Linked DNA regions of Callithrix jacchus. The protein of the gene in region 1 interacts with the protein of each later gene in a biochemical or structural test. Links are inferred from orthologs where the notes say so. Each region holds a gene or a part of one and is shown on either strand. Other genes may lie near its edges. The genes, in order: EP300, PPARG, ETS1, SMAD4, DDX17, SUB1 and CITED2.

Evidence for each region.
Region 2: the proteins of EP300 (region 1) and PPARG form a complex in vitro, tested with the Homo sapiens proteins (6 studies listed by BioGRID, with this or other methods). The link is inferred for Callithrix jacchus from reciprocal best matches to the Homo sapiens genes EP300 and PPARG.
Region 3: the proteins of EP300 (region 1) and ETS1 form a complex in vitro, tested with the Homo sapiens proteins (2 studies listed by BioGRID, with this or other methods). The link is inferred for Callithrix jacchus from reciprocal best matches to the Homo sapiens genes EP300 and ETS1.
Region 4: the proteins of EP300 (region 1) and SMAD4 form a complex in vitro, tested with the Homo sapiens proteins (2 studies listed by BioGRID, with this or other methods). The link is inferred for Callithrix jacchus from reciprocal best matches to the Homo sapiens genes EP300 and SMAD4.
Region 5: the proteins of EP300 (region 1) and DDX17 form a complex in vitro, tested with the Homo sapiens proteins (2 studies listed by BioGRID, with this or other methods). The link is inferred for Callithrix jacchus from reciprocal best matches to the Homo sapiens genes EP300 and DDX17.
Region 6: of the proteins of EP300 (region 1) and SUB1, one has a biochemical effect on the other in vitro, tested with the Homo sapiens proteins (2 studies listed by BioGRID). The link is inferred for Callithrix jacchus from reciprocal best matches to the Homo sapiens genes EP300 and SUB1.
Region 7: the proteins of EP300 (region 1) and CITED2 form a complex in vitro, tested with the Homo sapiens proteins (5 studies listed by BioGRID). The link is inferred for Callithrix jacchus from reciprocal best matches to the Homo sapiens genes EP300 and CITED2.

What each region holds. Positions count from the first base shown.
Region 1 is NC_133502.1:191,923,654-191,927,153, reverse strand, and holds part of EP300 (histone acetyltransferase p300), read right to left. Parts: coding exon 2,910-3,500; intron 1-2,909. UniProt on the Homo sapiens protein: Functions as a histone acetyltransferase and regulates transcription via chromatin remodeling. Acetylates all four core histones in nucleosomes. Histone acetylation gives an epigenetic tag for transcriptional activation.
Region 2 is NC_133516.1:69,515,757-69,519,824, forward strand, and holds the start of PPARG (peroxisome proliferator-activated receptor gamma), read left to right. Parts: upstream 1-1,268; 5' UTR 1,269-1,383; coding exon 1,384-1,465; intron 1,466-4,068. UniProt on the Homo sapiens protein: Nuclear receptor that binds peroxisome proliferators such as hypolipidemic drugs and fatty acids.
Region 3 is NC_133511.1:28,155,287-28,158,786, reverse strand, and holds part of ETS1 (protein C-ets-1), read left to right. Parts: coding exon 1-26; intron 27-965; coding exon 966-1,181; 3' UTR 1,182-3,500. UniProt on the Homo sapiens protein: Transcription factor. Directly controls the expression of cytokine and chemokine genes in a wide variety of different cellular contexts. May control the differentiation, survival and proliferation of lymphoid cells.
Region 4 is NC_133514.1:94,286,049-94,289,548, reverse strand, and holds part of SMAD4 (mothers against decapentaplegic homolog 4), read right to left. Parts: intron 3,221-3,500; coding exon 3,101-3,220; intron 3,005-3,100; coding exon 2,888-3,004; intron 1,510-2,887; coding exon 1,459-1,509; intron 1-1,458. UniProt on the Homo sapiens protein: In muscle physiology, plays a central role in the balance between atrophy and hypertrophy. When recruited by MSTN, promotes atrophy response via phosphorylated SMAD2/4.
Region 5 is NC_133502.1:209,415,800-209,419,299, reverse strand, and holds part of DDX17 (putative ATP-dependent RNA helicase DDX17), read left to right. Parts: intron 1-2,600; coding exon 2,601-2,751; intron 2,752-3,500. UniProt on the Homo sapiens protein: As an RNA helicase, unwinds RNA and alters RNA structures through ATP binding and hydrolysis.
Region 6 is NC_133503.1:172,693,335-172,697,310, reverse strand, and holds the start of SUB1 (activated RNA polymerase II transcriptional coactivator p15), read left to right. Parts: upstream 1-1,176; 5' UTR 1,177-1,591; intron 1,592-3,976.
Region 7 is NC_133505.1:146,159,913-146,163,991, forward strand, and holds CITED2 (cbp/p300-interacting transactivator 2), read right to left. Parts: upstream 2,801-4,079; 5' UTR 2,565-2,800; intron 2,114-2,564; 5' UTR 2,106-2,113; coding exon 1,284-2,105; 3' UTR 421-1,283; downstream 1-420. UniProt on the Homo sapiens protein: Transcriptional coactivator of the p300/CBP-mediated transcription complex. Acts as a bridge, linking TFAP2 transcription factors and the p300/CBP transcriptional coactivator complex in order to stimulate TFAP2-mediated transcriptional activation.

The DNA.
Region 1 (3,500 bases):
GTAAAGAAAAAGGAAATAAGCCCAGGCATGGTAGCTTACACCTACAGTCCCAGCACTTGAGAGGCTAAGGTGGGCAGATCACTTGAGGTCAGGAGTTTACAACCAGCCTGGGCAACATGGTGAAATCCCTACTCTACTAAAAACAAAAATTACCCACGAATGGTGGCACATACCTGTGGTCCCAGTTATTTGGGTGGGTGAGGCAGGAGAATCACCTGAACCCAGGAGGCAGAGGTTACAGTGAGGTAAGATCATGCCACTGCACTCTAGCATAGGCAACAGAGCAAGACTGTCTCACTGCACTCTAGCATAGGCAACAGAGCAAGACTCTGTCTCAAGATAAAAATAAAAATGAGGAAATAAAATATCATTTAATGAAAGTTTAAAATTTGAATTGCTCCTTCACATCAAAATAAAAGCTCCACAAGCATAGGGATTTTTGTTTTGTTCACTTCTATATAAACCCAGTTTCTAAAAGAAATTTAGATTATAACCAGAATAGTGCCACATTCCCAAGCAGTTGTCAATGAGCCTTAATTTTTCTCCATAGCATTTACCGGGCATACTCTAAATTTATATCTTATGTGCATAGTAGAAAGTAGGTTACATGAAGTAAATTCATACACTACAGTATTCTGTCAACCAATGAGGGTTGTCTGTCATCCCTCCTCTCCATAGCAAAATATAAACCTTGGTGGCAAGGATTTTATCTCTTTATAGCTAGGTTTCTAGATCTTTTAAAAGGTACTTAATAATTTACCTTGTTGTTTCTGGTTCTCATTCCAAATATTGTAAGTAAACCACATTGACACAACAATCTAAAAGTGTCAAGAGGCTGGGTACAGTGGCTCATACCTGTAATCCCAGCACTTTGGGAGGCCGAGTCAAGAGGATCACTTGAGTCCAGGAGGAGCCTGAGATTAGCCTGAGCAACATAGTGAGACTCCGTCCCCACAAAAAATAAAAAATCAGCCAGGCATGATGGTGCATGCCTTCAATTCCAGCTACTCAGGAGGCTTAGGCGAGAGGATTTTTAAGCCTGGCAGGTTGAGGCTGCAGTGAGCCATGATTAGGCTAGTGCACTCCAGCGTGGGTGACTAAGCAAGATCTGTCTTAAAAAAAAACAAAAAAAGTGGTGGGGGTGGGGGACAGAAAGGGAGACTCTACAAAGCACTAATGCTAAAACCTAATCCTAACTTGTCAATATTCTTGTAGCAAAAAAACATTTAAGGCTTTTGAATTCCTACATGTGACCTCAGTCCCCTCAACACAAGTTTGTCAATTTGTCTTCAATTCACACTTGCATTCTGTCACCGTCAAGGTTCTCTCTTTTCTTTAAATAGAGATGGGGTCAAAGTTGCCTGGTTGCTCCCTAACTCTTGTGCTCAAGTGATCCTCCTGCCTCGGCCTCCCAAAGTGCTGGGATTATAGACATGAGCCACTGCACCCAAGATTCTCGGGAACGCTTAAGTCCTAATGTCTGCTCAAATTATTCCTCTTACAGAGAAAGTTTTCTCTTGACTCCTTGTGAAAATCATATCTATCTCCAATTCCATCTTCCAAGTGAAGCCATCTCTAATTCAACAAAAAGTAACTACATGCCAAGCACTGGCAACCACAGTGTGATTCAATTTAAAAAAAAAAAAAAAAAGATGAAATACGGGGGAAAAAAAAAAAAAAGGAGGAATAAACACTAAAGTACGTGTAATTATGTCTTATTTGTCTACATAGGGTACACATTTAAAAGTGTCTTTGAGAGAATCTCACTCTGTTGCCCAGGCTGGAGTGCAACAGCATGATCTTAGCTTACTGCAATCTCCTCTCGGGTTCAAGTGATTCTCCTGCCTCAGCCTCCTGAGTAGCTGGGACTACAGGCTCAAACACCATGCTCAGCTAATTTTTATGTTTTTATCAGAGACAGGGTTTCAACATGTTGGTCAGGATGGTCTCGATCTCCTGACTTCATGATCCGCCTGCCTCAACCTCCCAAACTGCTGGGATTACAGGTGAGAGTCACCACGCCTGGCCAGTTTAAAATATTTTAAATAATATACTTAGCATTCTCTAGTTAATAAAGCTAACAGAAGTCTCTGGCCAAGATCTGGTTTCATTGAAACATCCAGACTATTGAGGTTTCACATAAACAAATGTACCTTAATTTCCATCAATAAAGAAAAAAAACAGTAATACATTTCTCAGAATAAACATATCTCCTGATAACCAGGGACATTCAAAGCAATAGGAACAAATGAAGTCTCCATCTGAAGACAGTGTAATGCCAGCTATCTCCAAACTGGTTTTTTTTTTTTTTGAGACAGAGTCTCACTCTGTCACCTAGGCTGGAGTAAGTGGCATGATCTCGGCTCACTGCAACCTCCGCCTCATGGGTTCAAGTGATTCTCCTGCCTCAGCCTCTCAAGTAGCTGGGACTACAGGCATGCACCACCACACCAGGCTAATTTTTGTATTTTTAGTAGAGATGGGGATTTACCATATTGGCCAGGCTGGTCTTAAACTCCTGACCTCATGATCCACCCACCTCGGCCTCTCCAAGTGCTGGGATTACAGGCATGAGCCACCGTGCCTGACCTCCAAACTGTATTTTTATAATGATGCTACTACAAGGCTAAACTGGACTTGGAAATGAGATTAAAAACATTCCAATGCTTGTGCCAGAGAGAAACGGCATTAGCCAGCGATCACTTGGAAATATGAAGTTATACAACATCAGTTGTAAAATACATGTTTTACTTAAATTTAATGTATGCACTTCTTAAAACTTAAGATAGCACAGTAAATTCCTGGCATGTAATATGTGGAAACTGCTTCACTATGTAAGGCAAACCCTCCCTCCATCATGGGAATACTCATGTGTGCCAAATGTGCACACAAATCAAAACTGTGCTTACCTTAAGAGGCTGCGGGCCTCTCAATCCTGTTTGTCCTCCCATCTGGGGAGAGCCCTGCTGAAGAGGCTCAGTCAGTAAGTTGCCAGCACTTCCCATGCTTGGGTTTGGGTACTGCATACTCTGTCGCCCTCGGCCTGCTCCAATTGAACCGTTCATGACTTGATTAGGCATTATCCCTTGTCCATTGCCTGCAGCCAACATTCCAGGATTCATGCCAGCATTCATCCCTGTGTTCATTCCCATGGCAGGCTGATTTACTGGACTGTTCATCATACCTGTTGACTGCGTAGGACCCTGATTTGGTCCACTAGTGCCCATTCCCATGTTGGGAGAAGTCAAGCCTGCCTGTGTCATTGGGCTTTTGACCATGCTATTTATCAAACCTAATCCAGGACTGTTCTGTTGGGCCTGGCTGGCCATGACTTGACCTGGGCCACCAACTCCCATATTGAGGTTAGGCGAACTACCAGATCGCAGCAATTCTGATAGCTGTTTATGTTTAGAAGCTGCATCTTGTACTATGCCAAGACTTGTCTGAAGCTGATTAATATCACCACCATTGGTTAGTCCCAACTCTGTAGAGTTGATTAA
Region 2 (4,068 bases), on another chromosome or scaffold:
GACAAATTAGCAAACCCAAGTTTTGCTTTAACTTGGGTTGCCTTAATAAAGATGTTTTGGGGCTTAACGGCACAGTTGCCTAACTCTCTACTTTATTCTGTACTGTTCAGACCTGGCGAGCATTTCACCATCAAGCTCTTGCACCATGATTGACAGGGACACTTTTACTAGTCCTCCTGAAGAATGAATAGTTACTCAACGTAGATTAACCAGATATATATTTATTTTACTCAAGATAAGTATAATTCAGAGAATTATTGCCTTCTAATGTACTAATTGCCATGTGTAGGGGCGTCTTTGAAAATCTGCAATGTCACTGCAATTCTACTAGGCCATTCATGTGACAAGACCTGCTCCCACATCTGTAATTTGGCACAGCTAGTGTTTCTCCTTGCCAAAAAGGGCAAAGGCCTTGAGCAAGAAGCCAGCTTTTTTCCTGATTACAAAACTGACCACAATTCCTCGCCAACCTAATAGCGTATAAGTCTATTTTTTTCTGGTAGTGTGTTCTTCTTACAGAGAACTCCATTTTTTCATTATGACACAGCACTTATCATTTAAACATCAATTGATGTTCAGACATCAACTGATGTAACATTGCTGCAGTTGCAATTGATGGATAAGCTGAAGTTTTTAAGAGAACAAACTGTGACATATAAAATTGAAACCACATCAAACCCTTCTTCATTCTCTCAACTATTTAATTTTACAGAATTTGGATAGCAGTCAGTATCATTTTGGGCTTCACAAACAGTAGAATAAATACCTTAGGAATATAACATTTCAGTAGCATGCTGATACCAATGTTTAAACTATGGATACATATTTGAATTCCAAAGTTTTCTTCAGATAATGTGATTAGAGATTCAACCAGGAATAGACACCAAAAGAAAACTTTGCCCAAATAAGCTTTCTGGTATTTCATAAGCGAGAGATTTAAAGTTTTCCATTTAATAAGCAATTGATGTGAATTTTATGACAATAAAAATGCAAGGCGATATTGAACAGTCTCCGCTCTTATAATTCTAAATACTGTACAGTTCACACCCCTCACAAGACACTCAGCATGTGGGTCACTGGCGAGACAGTGTGGCAATATTATTTTCCCTGTAATGTACCAAGTCTTGCCAAAGCAGTGAACAACATTATGACACAACATTTTGTCAGAGCTGGCTCCTAACAGGACAGTGCCAGCCAATTCAGGCCCAGTCCTTTCTGTGTTTATTCCCATCTCTCCCAAATATTTGGAAACTGATGTCTTAACTGATGGGTGTATTCACAAATTCTGTTACTTCAAGTCTTTTTCTTTCAACGGATTGATCTTTTGCTAGATATAGACAAAATATCAGTGTGAATTACAGCAAACCCCTATTCCATGCTGTTATGGGTGAAACTCTGGGAGATTCTCCAATTGACCCAGAAAGCGATTCCTTCACTGATACACTGTCTGCAAACATATCACAAGGTAAAGTCTCTTCCAGATACGGCTACTGGGGACATGGGGGCATTTATGTAAGGGTAAAATTGCTCTTGTAGTTTGTGTTCCAAGTCATGTTTGTTTTAATATTATCATGTGTACACTCCAGTATTTTAATGCTTAGCTTGCTGCTATGGTGTTCACTTAAAAACATATTCTGAACCTTAAAAAAGAAAACCTAAGCTAATCTGTATTTTATCTCTGTGCATGGCTTCCATTTCCTGAAATTTAAGCATTAAAGATATATCCAAAAAATCTTGTTCATTTTATTTCCTGAGTTTGCATACATTTCCCAAGAAAATGTAGGGCTCTTTAGACTTGAAGGGTCACTTTTTCCTCCTTTCATCTTGTATGTTACAGATCTCTCATAACTGTTTTTATCTCTCTTGCAGCACTTTTATTCTTCTTGAAGTACTCTCAGCTCTTTTCTGTTCTACTTTAAATCTAGATAATTGTGTGTGCACTTTAGCTCTCCCAAAGAATTGTAAGCTCCCAGAGTATGGGGCCAAGTGATGCTCTTCATTAGATTTCTTAGGATACCTCCTAGCATAATGCCTAATGCATTGTAGAAGAATAGCTTGTCGGAACCTTGAAAAATATCTGTTCCAAGCATCACATTTTACACATGAAGAAAATGAGGTCCCTAAATGCCTACTGCATACTAAATAAGTGATTACCTATTACTTCTCTTCAGATATGTCAGAATCAGATACCTTCTTTTCAATATTTCTTTCCTGGCCATTGCAAAATGTAATTTCTATGGCTTCTTCTATTGGAGTTTCTTAGCACCACCTCTACTGTTTGGTATTGTCTCATATCGATGTCTATATTTCTATTCATTTTCTTTTTCTCTTCTCGGAGATTCTGTGTAAAAATAGATTGTTAACTGGTGTGATTCATGTTTTATAATATAACTGCTAAAGCATTAAAATTAAATCACTTAATTGCTGAAATTGATGACTTTACATTTTAACCTTTTAATTTTCCTGGAAGCCTTAAGTTTGGACATATTAATCATAGTTTTTAAAATATCAAGCTTATTAAAAACTAGTAAAAATTGTTTCCTGAAATACTGTTTTATTACAGTCATTTGATTCAACATATATTTATATCATCTAAGCCTCTTAAATAGGAGTTTTGTTTTATTCCATAAAATGCTGTTATTCTGTTTTTCTGCAAGCCATAAAAATTGTTGCTATCTTTCTTCAGTTATTAATTTAGCCTGCCTCAGGGCAAAATGTCCTGGCTATACTATGAAATAGTTCTTGAGTCAAAATTTGATAGTTTTGTCTATTTGAAAAGAACATGTCTAGAATGCAGTACAACAAATATCAACAAATAGGTTAACTGAGAGGCAAGTACTATTTGTGGTGAGGATGGTTGTGTGATTCAAGTTAGTTTTCATTCTCTGCTAATCTCTATTTTTATGCTTTGAATTTACCCTGAGTTTAATTTTTTTTGAGTCTCAATTACCTCTAAAAGAATGATGTAGTACTTTTCTTCCTAATTAACATAATACAGAATAGAATTATTAGCAATTAAAACATTATATTTTATACTAATAATTTAACCCTTGTCTTATAGGGTCTCTGGCTACTTTGTCTTCATAAGCACTGCTTCTCTATTAAAAATGTGAGCTCCTAATGGCCAAAGATCTATGATTGTTACTCCTATTACATTTTATAAATGACCCTTAAGTAATTACTCCATCCCTTCCAAATCAGACAAAAATAAATTGGATATCTGATCATCATTAGCCAAGGCCAGCGGAGTTGGAACACTGTGAAGATGAGGCATTTCACCTGGGTACCGTAGTCCACTTAGTTGCTCCTTCTTCCTCATCATAGACAAAGTGAAATTGGGGTTTGTTGCAAATGGCTGAGTACTGCTACTGAAGAAAAAGTGGCACATTTAGTGTGAATGACTCAGATGTCCAGGTAGATTGAGTATATTCATGAGGTTAAAATCTCAACTACACTTAGCCACTATGCCCAAAGAAGACTTACATACTTTTTCCAAGGCTCCATCATTGCTGTGACCCCTTTATATTGTTCCCTTTTCTTTTTTTATCAAGAGCTCCTCAAGCAACCCCAAATAACCTCATGCTGGCTTTGAAACCATTTCCACTAGTAGAAATTGGCAGGATCGAAGGGAAGCTTCCACAAGCTCAAGCTGAATATGCCTTCTGCTTTTAGTGCCAGACCTAGTCCTGTGTGAATTCTACAATTTTAAGTTGTTGCACCAGAGCCTTGAAGGATGATGACACACTTGTCCTTTGGAGCTGATTGAGCAATGGAAATATGCCTTAGAGACATGATAAATGCTGCAATAGATAGTCCTTCAAAACGAGTCTCTCCTGAGATAGGAGTGAGTGATTGATTGCACACCACTTTTATCAAGTGATACTTAATCTGTGGTTACATAGCTCCAGGCAACCATAGACTCAGAAACATTTAGATAACTGACCAAAGTTTTTACCTTTTCAGAAGTTTAAAGGGATCTTTGTAGTACCAGGGAACATAAGGATGAATCCTGTCTTGGCCACATATTTGCTGTGTGAATTTGAGCACCTCATTTTACTTCTCTGGCCT
Region 3 (3,500 bases), on another chromosome or scaffold:
AATTCAAACTTTCTGACCCAGATGAGGTAAGGAAGGAGGGGCTTGTGAGTTCTGTGCTGAGGAAGGATGAGAGAAAACCCCTACAAGGGGTTGTGTGGATCTGAATGACATTTTCCAGGATTGGGATCCCAGCTCTTCCACTTGCCGCTCCTGGAGCAAGCTAGGCAGCCTGTCTGAGCCCCAGTTTCGTTATTTGGAAAATAGAGAAAATATCTATGTTACCCATTTGTCTTACAGGATTAAGTGATAGGAGGCATTACTGTGCCTGGCAGCAGGTCAGCCGTCACCCACAGAGCTGCCTTAGTGACTCAGCCTCTTCCTAGCTCCGTGGTTCTGTGAGTGTGGAAGGGGCCAGACAGTTCAAGAGGCCTTGGGAGATGGGCTCATTAGTTTCTCCTTTCATTACACACGTGCTTGTGGAGCAGTGATTCTGTGCCACGCCCAATTATGAGGGTTAAAAAAAATGAACAAGAGAGACAATATCTTTGTTCTGGCAGACAGGAGAAAATATTTATGTCCTGGTATGGGAAAAAGAAACACTTCCTGTTGATGAAAGGCAGGTGTGATTGCAGCTCAGCCCCTCCCCTTCACACCCACCTGTTAGATTTCATGTTTGCAAAGCAAGGAGATTTTACTAATAATGTGGGGAAAGAGGAGAGTGTATAGTGTGGCTTTTCTTTTTGTTTGTTTTAAGTCAAATATTTAATCCTATTCCACAGAAGTTTAGGGTCATTGTGTTTTCATCAACTGAAAGAATCATTGTGACTCCCATCGCTGCCCGATCCATCCATGAAAAATGGAATTCAGAAGAGATAAACTAGAAGCATATTTTCTATATCTGCATGAATCTCAAATTGTCTTACTTGAGTATCATGGTTATAGAGCATAGGCATACAAACATATATATTTGGCCAATCTTGTAGATTGTTACCTATTCCTCCTTAATCTTTCTTTTTAAATTTCAGGTGGCCAGGAGATGGGGAAAGAGGAAAAACAAACCTAAGATGAATTATGAGAAACTGAGCCGTGGCCTACGCTACTATTACGACAAAAACATCATCCACAAGACAGCAGGGAAACGCTACGTGTACCGCTTTGTGTGTGACCTGCAGAGCCTGCTGGGATACACCCCTGAGGAGCTGCACGCCATGCTGGATGTCAAGCCAGATGCCGATGAGTGATGGCACTGAAGGGGCTGGGGGAACCCTGCTGAGACCTTCCCAGGACAGCCATGTTGGTTGGACTCTTGAATTTTTAATTGTTATTCTATTTTTTATTTTCTAGAACTCATTTTTTACCTTCAGGGGTGGGAGCTAAGTCAGTTGCAGCTGTAATCAATTGTGCGCAGTTGGAAAAGGAAAGCCAGGACTTGTGGGGTGGGTAGGACCAGAAATTGTTGAGCAAATTTTCGGGAGAGGAAGAAGGGTCTTCTGAGAAGAAGCTTGAAGGCTCTGACTTAAGAGAGGAAGAGACTAATGTGTCCAATCATGTTTAAAAGTCAACCATGAAAAAGTGTCTTCAGTTGTGGACCCATTAGCAAGAGACGTTGTCACATCAGAACTCATGAAACTGATGGAAGGCAATTAATTTGCTTTTGTTTTTAGATTTGGGAGGGCAAAAAAGAGGTGGGTGGGATGAAACATGTTTTGGGGTGGGATGTACTCAAAACTGAGAACTATTTACCTTTCACTCTAGTTTTGAAACAAAGATGGACTTCGGTGGGGAGGGGCCAAAACCATTGTTGTGTTCAAATTTATTGTATTAAATTTTGTGCCAGTATTTTTTTTCTTAAAAATCGTCTTAAGCTCTAAGGTGGTCTCAGTATTGCAATATCATGTAAGTTTGTTTTTATTTGCCGGCTGAGGATTCTGTCACAGTGAAAGAAAACTGTTTATATAGACCCCACTGGAAAAGCAAAACGCTCTCACTGAGATCAGGGACCCCAAATTCATGGGATTTATAAAAGAAGGACAATTCATGCTGATTTGAGTACAGGGGAATGATGTGTGTGAATGTCATCTACAATTAAAAAAGTATTGTCACATCCCTTTACTTATTTGATATTAGTGGATTCTCGGGGTTTGGACTTAATGTTGAGTTAAGAAGCATTAAGTCATTGAACTGAATGTATTTTGCATCCCTGGTTTTGGACCACAGTAAACGTAGGAGCACTGTTGAAGTCATGGAAAGGAAATCGAAGGAGGAAGATCGACTTGGTTCTTTCTTAGTCCTATACCTGTAGCATAGATGACTTGGAATAAAAGCTGTATGCATGGGCATTACCCTTCAGGTCTTAAGAAGTAAGTCCTGAATGCATGTTGTTCTAAATTAACACTCTGTAATTTTTCTTTCATGTCTTATTTTCCAAGAATCCTCCCATTTTTTGCACCCCCTACCCCACCCCCACTCTGTTATTCAGTAGAGAGAAATGTACGGCTTTCTGATTGATGAGTGAAAGGGTAACTGGAGACATGACATAAGTTGAAGACTTTAGACCTGCTGAGTTTTAGAAGCGATGGGAATTAAGAGAACATTTCAATAAAATGTGATTTGGCTGTCTTTGGAAGAGAAGTGCAAGGCTTTCCTTTGAAGAATTTAAATTAGTGTGGTGGGATGTCAGGTGAGACAGTGTATGCAAAGTGAATGGTACAGGTGGTGCTAGGGCCTCATGCTTGGGGCTGATGTCTTGGCACAGGGTAAGTGAAGGTTAATTCCAGAAGAGAGGAATGACTTTGAAGGCAAAGGAAGCAAAGGAAGGAAGTTCAGGGAAGAAAATAAGGTTGTCCATGAGATTTGAATAGATTTCTTAGTTCCCCCAAAGTTTAAATACAAACATAGTCAAGCAAGGTAGTCATCTTTCTTCTGGTTGTGAGGGTGGATCTGAAAATGGAGTTTCAGGGGGAAAATCAACATCTAACTAGTGAGGAAAAGTGCCTAACACAATTAGAATCTCCTCACTCTGTAGTTGCCCAGTTGAAAGGATGAGGAAGAGGGGCGGCTTTATGGACTTCCATGAGAGAAGGGAAGAAACATTTTAGATGTGCTTCTCAGGGCAGGCCCTTTTTGGGATTTGGATGAGAAATAGGAAGTACTAACTACTTTCTAGTATATCTTCAAGAAAGTTCATTGTTGTTTACTCCCAGATCCTTTTGAAGACCCAGAATTATCAGGAACATATAGTTCTGTGATTCATGAGTGTCCCCATACTGATGAATTGGAGCGTCTGCATGGAAAGCAAAGGCAGAATTATCCCAGCTGTGTATTTTGATCTTTTGGATGCAGGTGCCTTAATGAAGCTCTCAAAATATTTTAGGAGCTGCTCAGGGAGTATTGGGTGGAACTGTTTGGACTACATTGTTTTCTCTTAGATTACGTGATTTTGTTGGGCACTGGCAAAAGGTGTGTGTGAATGTGTGCATGTGTGTGAGTGGTGTGTGTGTGTGTGTGTGTGTGTGTTTGCAGACATGCAAAACTGCAGCTGAAATAATACCTGAGATTTC
Region 4 (3,500 bases), on another chromosome or scaffold:
CATTGGCATCAGAGTATGAAAACTAGTTTTACTATGCTCACTAGCAGTAGATGTGATAGTTTAACAAACTTTTTGCTGATTTAAGAGGCAAATATTTGTTCTAGTTAGGAAAAAAGTGAGGCTAGTGGGGCAGAAGCATTCTTTTAACAATATATATTTATTATTATCTTCTTTAATGGATATTCCGTGTTTTATTGTATACATGTAAAAACGATTTTAAACATTTTTGTAGGTCAAGGGGTCTAGCCTTTTCATAAACACTTTGAGAAATGTAATATACAGAAAAGTACATAACACAAGTAAGTATAAAGTCTAATTTCACTAAAACTAATACTCATGCAACCACTACCCAGATTGAGAACTAAAACATTACAGCACCCGAGAAACCCTCCTACCCCACGAATTTTATCTCTGTCAAGACCTTCTCTTCCCTTCTCCCCAGAGGTAGCCACTGTCCTGCTTTAAATTGATTCACTTTTCTTGTTTTATTTTTAAATTTTAATTTAAATCTCAATATATATTTTTTAGATGGACTCTCGCTGCCACCCAAGCAGAGTGCAGTGGTGCAATTCAGCTCACTGCAACCTCCACCTCCAAGTTCAAACGATTCTCCTGTCTCAGCCTCCCAAATAGCTGGGATTATAGGCACCCACCACCACACCTAGCTAATTTTTGTATTTTTAGTAGAGATGGGGTTTCATCATGTTGTCCAGGCTGGTCTCAAACTCTTGGCCTCAAGTGATCTTGCCCCCTTGGCCTCCCAAAATGCTGGATTCCAGGCGTGAGCCACTGTGCCCAGCCATTTTTTGCTCTTTAAAGTGATGAATGTATTCCTAACAGTCTAGTTTAATAATCTGGCTTTACTTGTTTTTTAATTATATAAATGGAATTACTATATCAGAATCTTGATTCATGTGAATGAATATATTGTGATAAGAAGGAAAATCTACAGTCTGAAGAATGAGAACTTTTTTTGCTGGCAGCATCCTTGAGAGTCATTAGTGGCTCCTGGCAACTTAGGGATCTCAGTGTTTGTATTGCTTAGTCGGAGATAGTCTACAGGAGTGAGGGCAGTCACGGCTCTGAAGAGAGACCTACCCTAGATAGAATCATAGGTGGGGATAGGGGTGGAGCCATTTAGCTAGTCATTTGGACCTCTGTTTTTGATTCAGCAGTTGCCTTTGGCCTCTTAATAGACTTAATTCATTCTTTTCATAGCAGAACTGGTGTTTAGGCCCAACATCTCCTGGTGGTTAGAAAATAGCATTAACTAGTTGAGGTCATGCATTTATAGCAGTATGCATTGACATTAAAGCCTCTCTTTGATTAACTCATGTCATGATGAGTATCGTACTTATCTGAGAAGTGACCCTATAATTAATTAAAACCTGTGTTTGTGCATTTCAATCACTACTAAATCAATCTAAATATAGGGAATCAATTTTTAAATACACTTACCAGGATGATTGGAAATGGGAGGCTGGAATGCAAGCTCATTGTGAACAGGCCCTAAAGAAAAGACAAAAAAATTCCATTTTTATTTATTAAAAGTTGTCTAATGCTAAAGCTTTTGGTAAATCTTACTTAAATATAACTATTATAGGTTAAGAGTTGTTAAAAACAAGCTTATGCAACGTCTAAGAACTTAAAAGTTTAAATTACTTTACAATAAGCAAATCGTATTGAACTATTAATAATTTTGTGGCTATTTAATAACTAATATTTTAGTGCTACCTGCCACGTGCTATTACACAATTTATACATAATTTTACATCCAGTATTTAATACAGAATATAAATGAATTATTCATGTAATGTGCAATACAGTATAATTTATAGTGCAATGTATAATAAACTGTGAGATCTATCCTAAAAAGAAGTGCTTATGTTAATTAAGGATGTTATATAATGAAATTATAGCTAACATAATTACTATGTGTTAAGACACTGTGCTAAACACCTCACACAAATTATTACATTTACTTCTTACAAACACCCCTTGAGGTAGATACTACTAATATTACTCTTGAGGCTTAATGAGGTGAAATAACTTGTCAATGGTCACAGAACCAGTTAAAGGTCCAAACCCAACACCCTTAACCACTATAATGGCCCAGGGAGCCATTAAAAATTACATTCTCTTAGAAAATAAAAAAAATAGTAACATAACTGAAAAGAAGCAAGATATATACAATACACATATAGTAGGAGCCCTCTGTCAATTTACATATACCTGTTTATATGACTGGAAGGAAAATGACAAAGTATTAGAAGTGGCTATTTTTGAGTAGCAGGATTCAGGGTAATTTTGCTTTTCTTATTTACCCTTTTCTACATTGTCTAAGTTTTCTTTGGTACTATTAATATTATAATGAGATTGATTTTACTAAGCCATATGAACAATGCTCCTATTCTATCTGAAACTAGAGGCTATCTGTATGGTACTCCTCCCAATCATGCTGGCACAGAGTTATTGATAGATTCAACATTATCCAAAGTACACTGAATACTATGCTGAGGGAAACCTTGAGAACTTAGTGCTCAAAGTGTTTCAATCCATTATGGGTGGATATACAAGACACACATGAGATCTAAGAACACATATACAAAGCAAACAAACAAATGAATGGAAATCAATGTGATGTTAATGAAACATTGGCAACAGAGAAATAAATTCATTCAGCAAACATTACTCCTCTAAAATAAAAAGGTATAACTATGAAAAATAATACTGTTCACAAAAAATACTGAAAAGCACTATTTAATGAAACAAAATCACAGGATGAATAAAAGATGTAAAACCATTTAAAAAAAAAAGAAAAAACAAAACAAAGCCCTACCAAAAAAAAGAGAAAAAAAAAGCCCTTACAACAAAAACAAGAGCTTACAGTAATGTCCGGGATGGGGCGGCATAGGCGGGTGGTGCTGAAGATGGCCGTTTTGGTGGTGAGGCAAATTAGGTGTGTATGGTGCAGTCCTACTTCCAGTCCAGGTGGTAGTGCTGTCTAAAAATTAAGGCCCACATGGGTTAATTTGCTTTTATAAAGGCTGCCTACTTTTTTCTCAACTATTTAAAAGATTTTTTTAAAGCATGTACATACTATGATGGTAAGTAGCTGGCTGACCAGTAAATCCATTCTGCTGCTGTCCTGGCTGAGGCCCTGATGCTATCTGCAACAGTCCTTCACTATGGCTGCCCCCCAGTATACTGGCAGGCTGACCTAGAGGAACAAGAAGACATTAACACGGTACATTCATAGATGTCATCTTATGATTTCATATACTAAATGAAGGACCAATTGTATCTGATAATGCCCACAACTATAAAGATGGGCAAAAAGTGTAACTCACCCACGGCCTATCAGGTAAAAAACCTGAAGTCATCTATAAAGGCAAATCCTAACTTGATGAAGCTCAAAATTATTCCATTTTAGGTCATTTTCTCGCTAATTTTAGTGGCTTACTTCTTCACAAACATATTTCAAATGCCAGCAAAACACC
Region 5 (3,500 bases), about 17 Mb from region 1:
TCAAGTTAAGCTGTTAATTGCTGACTGGATAAAAACATTTCAGGAGCATACTATACCAGAGTACGATGTGTATATTTAAAGATATGGATATGCTCAAAAGTAAAAGATTTTCTTCAATTTTGAGGTCATTAATTATGTCAGCATTAATTATAAACATGGAAGACAGCATATTTTCCAAGAACTCCATGTTTCAAATTAGATATATAGTGTAGGGTAGTATATCTTAAATAGCCAGAGAAATATGGAGAGAGGAAAAAATACATAAATGGTAATGAGGTTATGATTAGTTTAAAGCGTTACCAGGAACATCACTTTCAAAAGTTTTATTTTTTCGTAGATTATTGAGGTTTGGGTATTGCAATGCAGCAGTAACAATGGAATATTTTATAATTTGCGAGAGTGGTAATCCAAGGACTTGGTACTTCTTGAAAAGTGCCTTATTTAGCTGCTTCATTTGCAAGTGTAGGGGGTGGCAATTGAGGTGGCCTTTTGGTCTGTTCACTATTGCACTATTGAGCCTTAAGCCGAGGAGTACATTAAAGATGTTGTTGACATGTGTATGCCAATGCTATGTGCTCTTCCTGTTTTGATTCTTAATTTGTCTTACTGCCTCAGCAGTGGTATAAAGAATTAGCCACGTTCTACCTGTTGAATGTAGGTATCCAGTGATCCCAATAAAATTTTCCTGTCATCAATTTTTGTTATATTTGTGTTTAGAGGAATATATAGCTGGTTAAGCCAGAGTTCTAATGCTTTGAATTGCAGGAAATTGAGGCCCTATAGAATAATACACCTGCTGCCTGTCAGTTATAAAGTGAAACTTTATATAAGATGATGTTATGGCCAGGCACGGTGACTCATGCCTGTAATCCCAGCACTTTGGTTTTGGGAGGCCGAGGTGGACAGATCATGATGTCAGGAGTTTTTGAGACCAGCCTGGTGAACATGGTAAAAACCCATCTCTACTAAAAAAAAGAAAACAAACAAAAACTAGCTGGGCGTGGTGGTGCACACCTGTAATCCCAGCTAATCTGGAGGCTGAGGCAGGAGAATTGCTTAAACCCTGGGGGGCGGAGGTTGCAGTGAGCTGAGATTGTGCCACAGCACTCCAGCCTGGGTGACGGAGTGAGCCTCTGTCTTGGGGTGGGGAGATGATGGTACAAGTGGGTTAGAGTGGGAAAAGGAACCTAAATTAAGTACAGTATATTACAATGAGTAAAGAAGTTGTCAGTGAAAAAAATGCTGTACAGTTCGTGTGCCAGACACAGCCCTGCACTTCACAAGATTGAAATAGGGAAGATGAAGGCCATGTTAAGATATTTCTAGGAAAAGTAGCTTCTGATTTGTTAAATTTTAGCTTAGGCTAGTGGTCATATTTGTATTCCCCTTGAGCTTGTTTGTTGTGAAAGGTATGTAAAAAGCAGGAAGTTGATCTCAAGTAATTAGTTGACTTTTAAAACCTTAAATAAGTCTTGTTAGTGGCTTTTCTGTCCATTAATAATACCGTTTGGGAACAAGGAGGAGATACAAGGTAAAAGAGACGAAGAAGGAGAGGTCATAAATGTATGTTCAGCTTTTTTTTTTTTTGGAGATGGAGTCACCCTCTGTCTCCCAGACTGGAGTGCAGTGGTGTGGTCTCAGCTTACTGCAACCTCTGCCACCCTGGTTCCAGCTGTTCTCCGGCCTCAGCCTCCCAAGTAACTGGGATTACAGGCGTGCACCACCACTGTTTAGTAGAGACAGGGTTTCTCCATGTTGGCCAGGCTGATCAGAACTCCTGACCTCAAGTGATCTGTCTGCCTCGGCTTCCCAAAGTGCTGGGATTGTGAGCCACTGAACGTGGCTTGTTCAGCTCTTTTATTAGAATAAGCTAAAAATGAAGACCGGTCTACGAGGAGTGCTCGTCACAGTTTAAAGGGGGAAGGGCCCAAGAAGACTGAGGGACATGCTTGGAGTGTATTTTCTTCCTTGTCCACAATCTTGCCTTTAACTGAAACTGAAACTAATGTCATCCTTTGCCTGCCTCTCTGTTACACAAGAGTAGAGACTTGTTTCTGTTTTATTTACTTTAGTAACTCCAGCACGGCACCACTTCAAATAGTAACTGATACATAGTTGGTACCTAATAACTATTTGTTGACTGGAATGATGCTTGCTTGTACTGAGTGCTTGTTATGCCAGTTACTTTTATAGCACATTACACATTATTAGATCTTTTTCTCAGCAGCCTCTGAAATAGGTGGTATTATTTCTAACTTGCATAGGAAACTGAGGTGTGTAGAAGTTAAATAATTAAATTATACAGTAAGTGGCAGAATCAAAACTCAAACCATGTCTGGTTCCAGAATCTGTGATTGTAATCCTTAGTATGTATACAGGAATTTTTTATTTTTCACCTATTATAGCCATACTCATAAACAGTTACTCTTGTTGGGTAGTAAAGGAAGTTTTACACACTTCTCCATACCTTTAAATAGGAGTGAATAACATGGTCTTTTGGAGGTAGGCTGGTAGTAGTCTATCTTGTTTGAATCTTTTTATGGTGTGTAAGATATATTACTTCAAAAATACTGATGAACTAAAAATTCTGATGTTCCTAGATTTGGAGCAAGAGGTGGTGGTGGCCTCCCCCCGAAGAAATTTGGTAATCCTGGGGAGCGTTTGCGTAAAAAAAAGTGGGATTTGAGCGAGCTCCCCAAGTTTGAGAAAAATTTTTATGTGGAACATCCGGAAGTAGCAAGGCTGACTCCAGTAAGTTTGTGTGTGTGTGTTTTAATGTACAGATTATTGAACCAGTAGACATAGTGGTTAGAGTTTATTCATACACTAATGTTGCTGTTTTACATTTTATTCTAGTGTGGTGATATTTTTAAAAAAATTTTTTTTCTTAATCACCTCCCCTTCCCCTCCCCCCCAGAGACTGGGTTTTGCCACGTTGCCCAGGCTAGTTTCAAACTCCCTAGCTTGAGCAATCTACCCGCTTTGGCTTCCCAGAGTACTGGAATTAGAGGTGTGAGCCACTACACCCAGCTGATATTTTTCTTATATTCTTAACTAAGATCAGTAATCCTCATAAAAGGGGGCCAGTTTAAATATGCATTTAATTTGTTATTTGTTGATAATGCTTCCTAATCTATTTATTATACCTGATTGAAACTATTATATATTAGGTCATGTCTTTTCAACTGTCAGTGAAAAAAATATATTGGTGTTGTCTTTTTTTTTTTTTTTTTTGAAATGAGGTCTTGCTCTGTCCCCCAGGGTAGAGTGTTGTGGCGTGACCTTGGCTCACTGCAACCTCTACGTCCCAAATTTAAGCAATTTTCCCACCTCAGCCTCCTGAGTAGCTGGGATTACAGGCACATGTCACCATGCCCCACTATTTTTTTTTTTTTTTTTTTTTTTTAAGTAGAGCCACTGTGCCCAGCCAAAATTTGTCTGTTGTTGTGCCTCATTATCATTGTTTTGGACTTTACAAATGAAATGGTTACTCTTTCAGA
Region 6 (3,976 bases), on another chromosome or scaffold:
GTCAAGTAATTCTAGAAAGGAATGTGTGGGGGATGCTTTCACATTTAGTGTTCAGACTTCAATTCTATCCCATGTATTCTTTGCCTCTCAACCCCATTACATTTCAACCCCAGTTTTAATTTTTCCGGGGAATATATAACTCTCTTCTCCTATAAGAGTGGGAACCATAGGTCTAATTGCTTCACATGTAGAGTCAAACACTCCTCCCATTCTGCAACCCACTGCCCTTCCTCAGCCTCTGTAGCATCTCTGGTGTGCAATTCTGAGCTTTGGCAGGATTCCATCTCTACTTTGCAAAATCCCATACCATTCCTCTACCTGAGGCAGGAGAATAGGATTTAAGAAAATAGGAGGGAGGGAACCTAAGGCTAATTCACACTTCAGCTGTAACAGGAAATACCCTCTCCATAGGGTGTTAACGTTGGTTTCCTCATCTATAAAATGGAGAGAATACTCATTCCTACTTTGGAATGTGCTTGTTAGGATGAGTAAATTGCTTCATGCAGTGTCTGACACGTAGTGGGTTCTTGATAAATCTTTGTTAACAGATATACCTTTGTATTGATTATTAGCTGCAAGAGGCATTCATTCAAATACATATTCAAATAATCTTTTAGCTATATTGCTGCTTGTATATGGATTTCTCTTGTCTTCTGTGAACTCCCTTACATCTCCAGGACCTCAATACAGGAATAAGGCATACTCCAAAGATTTCTTGCACTTCCTAGAATTAAACGCTGTGACTTTAGCTTCCTTCCTTTGGAATTTAGGAGGCAGAGTCATGTACTGAGGTGGGTAAAGTGGGGTAGGAAGATCATATCTGGGAAAATGGACCAGAGTATTGATTTTTTCATTATGACCCCTCCGCTTCATTAAATCATTTATTGAGCAAGTGAAACGCTTGGCGCTTGTCACTCATGTTCTATTTATTTATTTATTTATTTAAGCCATCTCCTACAGGAAGGATATTAGTTCTTTCATTCTTTCACCGGTAAGGTGTAATCTTCCAACATCTGACTTTGCCGTCATCCATTGGGAAAAGAGGCGGTCCCTTTAAGGCCCTGGAAAGGGTCTAAGTGTTGGTTTCAGTGGGGAGGCCACGCCCCATCACGTGAACGCAGGCCCAGCGGGGCGGGGTCTGCGTCTCCTGGCTGCCGTCATTTCCGGTTCTCTGTCAGTCGCGAGCGAGCGAGCAGGAGAGTGTGCGACTGCTAGAGCCGAGCGGAGCGTGAGTGCGCGGAACCCTCTACCCCTACTCCTCGGGGCCCCTATCCAGCCCACCCCACCCTCCCAGCCGGGCAGTGAGCTGCCTTCGGCCCTCTGCTCCCCTAGCCGGCAACAGCCGCGGGAAATGGCGGCTCTGCCTTACCTCCCCCTTCCCCGCCTCGGCGTCTCCAGGCCCCCTCCTCCGTCCCCGACTCCGTGCCTGAAGCTCTGTGGACCCTTCCGCACTATACACCGGTCTCCGGGAGCCGATTCAAGGCGGCAGGCGCTGCGGCCTGAGGCAGCGGATTGAGGCCGTCTCGGGGGCGAGGAGCCGCGGGGAGGGGGTCGCGGCGTCCCCGGGACAATGCGGAGGCGGCTGGCCGAGGTGGGGCGCGTGCGGTACCCGCTCTTCCCCCGGCCCTCGCCCTGAGGGGGCGCTCTGGAGACTGGGAAAGCGGATGCGGGCGGGAGTGGGCGGCGGGAGGAGGCCAGGGGAAGAAGCTCTGATGTGCGGGGAGAGGGAACGCTTCGAGAGAAGAAAATGGCGCTTGGTGCAAGTCCCGCCTCTTCCCACGCCGTCTCCTCCGCACTTCGCCGCCTCCCACGCCCCCTCTGACCAACCTGTCTCCCCTCGCCAGAGCGGCTGCTAGCCACGGGGTGCTAGCGGCTTACTGGGGCCGCACGACCCCTTCCCTGGTCTTGCGCTTGTCATCCTTCTGTTATACCGAAGTTGTGTGCCCTTAAGTCCTGGTTCATTTTCACCTCGTTTTTTTCTCATCTTCCCCTCAGTCAGCAAAGGCTGGAGATTTCGTTTCTCTTTTTAAAGTTGCGTTTTGCATAAATTCTACAATAGTGGTTTCAGTGTCAATTACTTGAATTACAAGCTGCTTCCCCCCCACCCCCCACATTGGAACAGGCTCGTTAAGGTAAAAATGTATTTGAAAGTTTAGAGGCTGGCTTTAGTTACCGTTACTTTTCTTCTCCAGTGGACTTCTTGGGTTGAATACCAGGTGGTTCTTTGAGAAGTTCTTGGGCCCCCAGGCAGTTTTTAATAACAGACGGTAGTTATGTTCCACCATTTCAAAGTGAAAAATAAATTATGTTCAATTTAATTACCTTTTAAAAAAAGATCTTTTTTTATTTGTATTAGCATTAAAAAGTGAACTAAATTGATTTTGGAGATTAGGTTGCAAAATGGAGCAGAAATAGGAAAAATGGATAACACGTGGTCATGAACGTTGCTTTTCCCTTCTGAATTTACTCTTCAAGACATCACCAGTTAAAATCAGCATGTCTGGGTTGGGCATGGTTTGAGCTCTTTGAATTGAGTGGCCAGGATTGGGATGGCCCATTTCTTTTACCTTGACCTGCTATTTAGGAACACATGCAACGTCAGTTCTAATGCAGGTTTCGTCTGGAGAGCTAGATCATTTATGATTTTTTTATTTTCAGGAGGAATTTAAGTTTTTTTTTCTTGTACTCAGCAAATATAGTGTGTACTGTGTTTATTAAACCTTTTAAGGCATACAGAAATTACCCATTTATGCCTAGTGTTCCATTATTGGAACGCTAAGCATGTGGGTGTTATTTATGTCTTGCTGCTCAAGGTCATCGCCAAGGTCTGATTGCAAAAATTCAAAAAATTGCAACCACTGGCATAAGTGGGTTAACAGGACCTAATCTCTTCTGAAAAGGGGAGAGCAAAGTTATTTGATAATTGGCATTTGCGATCTGGTATTATTAGTGCCTTGAAAAGAGGTATCCACATATCTTGGAATTCCTTGAAATTTGGGTCTTAGGCTTACTGATGATAGTTTGCTTTCTACAAACTTGCACTTAGTAAACATCCACTTGTAAGCAAGGCACTTAGCTATGTATATCTCTGGGGGGACCAGGGGAGCTACCAGCAGGGTAGGAATTTGAGAGAAGGTTTTGCCCTTCACAGAAATAGGCTGTTCAAATTTTAATTGTGTTCCAGAGTAGAAAAAAATCAGTGTAAAATGTAATGAATTTCTGTGAATGGCATGTGACCTTGGCTCACTGCAACCTCCACCTCCCGGGTTCAAGTGATTCTCCTGCGTCAGCCTCCTGAGTAGCTGGGACTACAGGCTTGCCACCACTCCTGGCCAATTTTTGTATTTTTAGTAGAGATGGGGTTTTACAGTGTTGACCAGGCTGGTCTGGAACTCCTGAGCTCAAGTGATTCGCCTGCCTTGGCCTCCCAAAGTACTGGAATTGCGGGTGTGACCCATCGTGCCTGGCCTGAATTGTGTATAATTTTGTGTACTTTGAATTAGTACGTGTTATTTTGGTAATACGTCTAAACAGTCAAAATTAACATGTAAAATATGAATAAATATATGGAAAAATTAATTAGATGTCACATTTGCATAGTACAGCTAGTTCCCTGTTGTGTAAATGTTGGGGTCCATTCCCTACAGTGAATAACTTTACATTAGTTCTGATCTCATTGGTGAGAAGTCTAAAGCGGTGATAGTAGAATTACATTTATTTTCTGTTTTTAACAGTAATTGTCTGCTGCCTTCTTGCAGTCTACCCTACCCGTAGTGTGTCCTGCCACTAAAACAAAGTATAGAAAGATCCATTGGCTTGGAGAAAGGTTAGATGTGTAGAGTGTATGACATTTAGTTCATTTTTCTTAATGGGTTCACCCTGCATGTTATTTGCAACTTAGAAGAGTATAGATAAATACTTGTGCTCATAACAACTCCAGTTCCACAAAAATGGTAGAATGAACTATGTAACTTGT
Region 7 (4,079 bases), on another chromosome or scaffold:
CCCATCCATCAGTATATTATTCTAATCTACCTCCATTTAAGTAGTTCAATCAGGTATAAACAGAAACACTTCATTTTTCCCTCCTGCCCATTGAAAAAGATAATGTTGAGTATTGCAAACCTTTCTAACTCTGGAGTACACTTGAATATGATGGCAATTAAGAAAAAAAAAAGCACTATGACAACTTTGCAGCTTTTGATTAAAGCACACCAAGAGGCATGTTACAATGATAACAATGAAGCATTATGCCAATTATGTTAAATCCTGCTCTCCGCTTAAGCTCATCATGACCTGTTTTAGTGTCCTGTAATTTATCCTTTGGAATGCTTACTCTCATCAATAAAGTGTTCAACTTGGGGGGGGGGAAAAAGCCACCAAAGAGAACCACCACCCCCCAAATGACTTCTAGAAAACGAGTTATTTCTTAACTTTTTATTGACATTGGCAAATTAAAATAGAATAAATTAACAAGTATTTTTTCAAAAAAATGTTTTGTACAAAAATACTGTCAAAATTTCCTAAAAAGCTTTCAACACAGTAGTATCTTTTCATGTACTGAATATAACTATTAGCACAGTGTCAAAAATGTTGAAGACAGAAACAAAATAAAAATCTGTGAAATGTTTGCCACTGACGACATTCCACACCCTATTATCATCTGTACATATGGGGGGGGAGGGAGAGACAGCCAACTTGAAAGTGAACAGTATGACTTTTCCTGATCCAGAACAGTTTGGCCCACATCTGTTTAATCTTCCAGTTTAGCATATTTTAAAAATTAGTCTGTACTCAAATGCATAGTTAAAAAAATGAAGCGAGATGGCAGAGTTTGTGCAGTAATATCTGCCCTTCAAAGTTCATGCAACCAACTAATGCAATTTTTCCTTTCACTCGTAAATCTGAATGCAGTTCAGTCATTTGAAACCATCTACAAAATCCACAAGATTAAGAAGTTTGCCAAGATTAATATCTAACAGTTGAGCACTGAAGAAAGTGAGGGAAAGGAGTAAAAACAAACAACGAAAAAGACCAAGTTAGCTAGATATTTCAACTACATAAGGGAGGTGAATGTCAAGGCTGCAAAAACGAAACAAAAACAGGGAAAAAAAGTGGCAGCAATTTTTTTTTAAACCAATTTGTACAAGTTTATAGTTTACTTTGTTTCCAAGTTCTCAAACCTTTCAAGATCTGAAAAGTGAGATACTGTGTCTAAGGGAATGTTTCTTTTAATTCACACCGAAGAAGTTGGGGGTTTGATTTCTTTCGCCGGGGTTTCGATCGAGTCAACAGCTCACTCTGCTGGGCTGCTGTTTGCACACGAAGTCCGTCATAAAATCAAACTCGTTTTGCCCCAGCCAGAGTTCGGGCAGCTCCTTGATGCGGTCCAAACCCATTTCTATCACCAAGGACATAAGAACTTCCTCGTCGATGAAATCAGTGTCTATGACATTGGGCGGCAGCATTGCAGCAGGGACGTGGGCCACGGAGGCGGGCATGTTGCTGCTGCCGCTGCCGCCGCTGCCGCCGCCGCTGTTGCTGCTGCCCGCGCCGCCGCCCGCGCTGCCGCCCGAGCCGCCGGGGGTGCTGCTGCCGCCGGAGCCGCCGGGGGTGCTGCTGCCGCCGCTGTGCTTGGGGTTGCAATCTCGGAAGTGCTGGTTTGTCCCGTTCATCTGGTGGCCTGCAGCAGGGTGCAAATCCGGCATGTAGTGGTTGTGGGGGTAGGGGTGATGGTTGAAATACTGGTTGTTGAGCTTCTGCAGCTGCATGCTGGCCGGCAGGGAGCCTCCCTGGCTGGCCACCGGGGGGGCCATGAACTGGGAGTTGTTAAACCTGGCCGCGGGGGCCAGTGCGCTCGGGGGGTGCCCTCCGTTCACAGTCCCCGGTCCCATGGCGTGCCTGATGCCGCTCGTGGCATTCATGTTGCCCGCGCCGTAGTGTATGTGTTCGCCCATCAGGGCGTTGAAGGCGTGCTGGGGCTGCTGCTGCTGGTGGTGATGGGGGCTTGGGAACTGCCCCATGCCCATGCGGTGGGCAGGGTGGTGGTGCAGCCCATTGGTGCCGTCGGGGAAGCGCCCGTGGTTCATGGCCATCATATGGTCTGCCATTTCCAGTCCTGGAAGTGAAAAGGGCAGACGATGAGACCCGCGCCACACGTGTCGCCCACCACAGCGCACCCCACTGTTGCCCGCCTCTGATTCCCGGGCGCACGTCGGCTGCGAACCAACACCCCCAAATCCCACTAGCAGCCTGTGCACCCGGGCTCGCCACCAAGGAGGACCTGCCACTCGAAACACAGCCGGGCACTACACAAACAGCCCCTTCCCCTGAGATCGGGCGGGAGGACCCTAGCCCACACCCCCCTCTGCTCCCCGAAGTGGCCTAATAAAGGAAGTGCCCCGTAGCCCTGCCGCGAACTTCAGGCATTGAATCAGCCCTCCTCATCCTGTTGTTGCACATCCTGTTGTTATTCCCCAGCTTCGCCTCACGCTCTTCCTCCGGGCAAACCCTGCCCTCGGAGGACTGGGCTGGCAGGAGCCCCAGCCAGCTTCGCCCGTCGCGCTTACCTTCCGTTTTTGCGATTTCTGCTCCGAAGACAGAGGGCGGGATCGTCGGGTCCAGGACCGGCTCAGCAGCACATAGAGGGGGCCTTCCTGGCGTGCAGGGCGCTTCGCTGTCGCGATGTCGGCGCCGAGGTCTCGCAGCGGCTGCTGGGGCAGATTCGGAGCCGTTCCCTTTTATTTCCCCTCCGCTGCTCTCACAGCTCGGTAGGAGCGCCCGGCAGCTGCCAACAATGAGCTGTGTTTCTTAGGGCTTTGGCCACAGTTAATATAGCATTTCTTGAAGGGCGGAGCGAGAACCTCCAGGGCGGGCGGCGCGAAGACGCGGATTCCGGAACAACACGGACACCTGGACCGGGTCCGGTGGCCGCGGCCCCGCTGCCCGCGGCACGTGCGCAGAGCCTGCGGGCCCGTCGCCCCCTGGCTCTGGTTTCTTCCCGGCCCAGAAACGCGAGGTCGGCTCAGCCACCCCCGGGGCAGCGGGGAAATCCTCCCCGGCCGCCCCGCCCGAAGGTAGCGCCTGCCCGGAGTGGAACGAGGAGAGCTCACCGCCCGCCTCTGGCCGGATCTCCCCACCCCCAGCTCTCCCACTCCGCTCACCTAGCGATCTGTCTGGCCCTCTACGGGAAAAGGGGACTCGCCCAGCGCCCCCGCCCTCCGGAGTGCCCTTCTGCCTCGCCGGCTTTGCCAAAGCTTTCCCAGGCTGCGAAGAATGGCTGTGCGTCCTCGTAGTTGGGTTTTAAAGACCCGGACAAATAATGCGCCCTTTCTTGAGCGCGCTTTCCTGGACTGTGCCTTTGTGTTTTCATAAGGGCAGTGGGTAGACCTACTCTAGATCACTGCATGTAGATGCCTTTTTTTCCTCCACTCCTTTCAAGGACAGGAGCTGGGGGCGGGGAGCGGCAGCGGCTGCGGCTGCAGGTGGACCGAGCGCGCTCGCGGGCCCGGCCACCCCAGATCCCGCACCCTGGAACTCCAGCCCGCGCTTTTGGGCCCGCCCGCCGCTCCCGGGGTACGTGTGCTTCTGCTAAGTTTGCGTTTGCTGCTTTGGTAGCTTTGGCATCCGAGCTGAGGCGTCTCTGCTCTGTAAACAAACTCAGCGATCCTCGTCCCCAGATCCACCTTTTTGCACATACACAGTTACTTGCTTCTGCTGTTGCCCTGGATCCGGGAGGTGGGGGTGTGTGCAAACTTGCACAGCTTCCCTCTGGGCTCTGCTTGACGGTTTGGGGTTGATTTAGAAGCAAACGGGTTTGTAATTAAGAAATTCGAGGGCTGAGTAAGGCTGCTGTTGCTGGAAAAGGAAAACAAATAGATAACATGGTAATCACTTTGTAAATAAAGTCGTTCTGGAGGTGGGCACGTAGCTGCAAGTCCCGTATGGCACCGCGCGCACACACACGGCTGGGACTCTTCCTTTTCAGTGAAACTGTTCAGTGGGGCAATAGGCGATAATAATAACCTTGCTTCCAGAACGCGGCACACGGAGACTGGTCTCCCGTTTGGTTCATTGATTTGCAA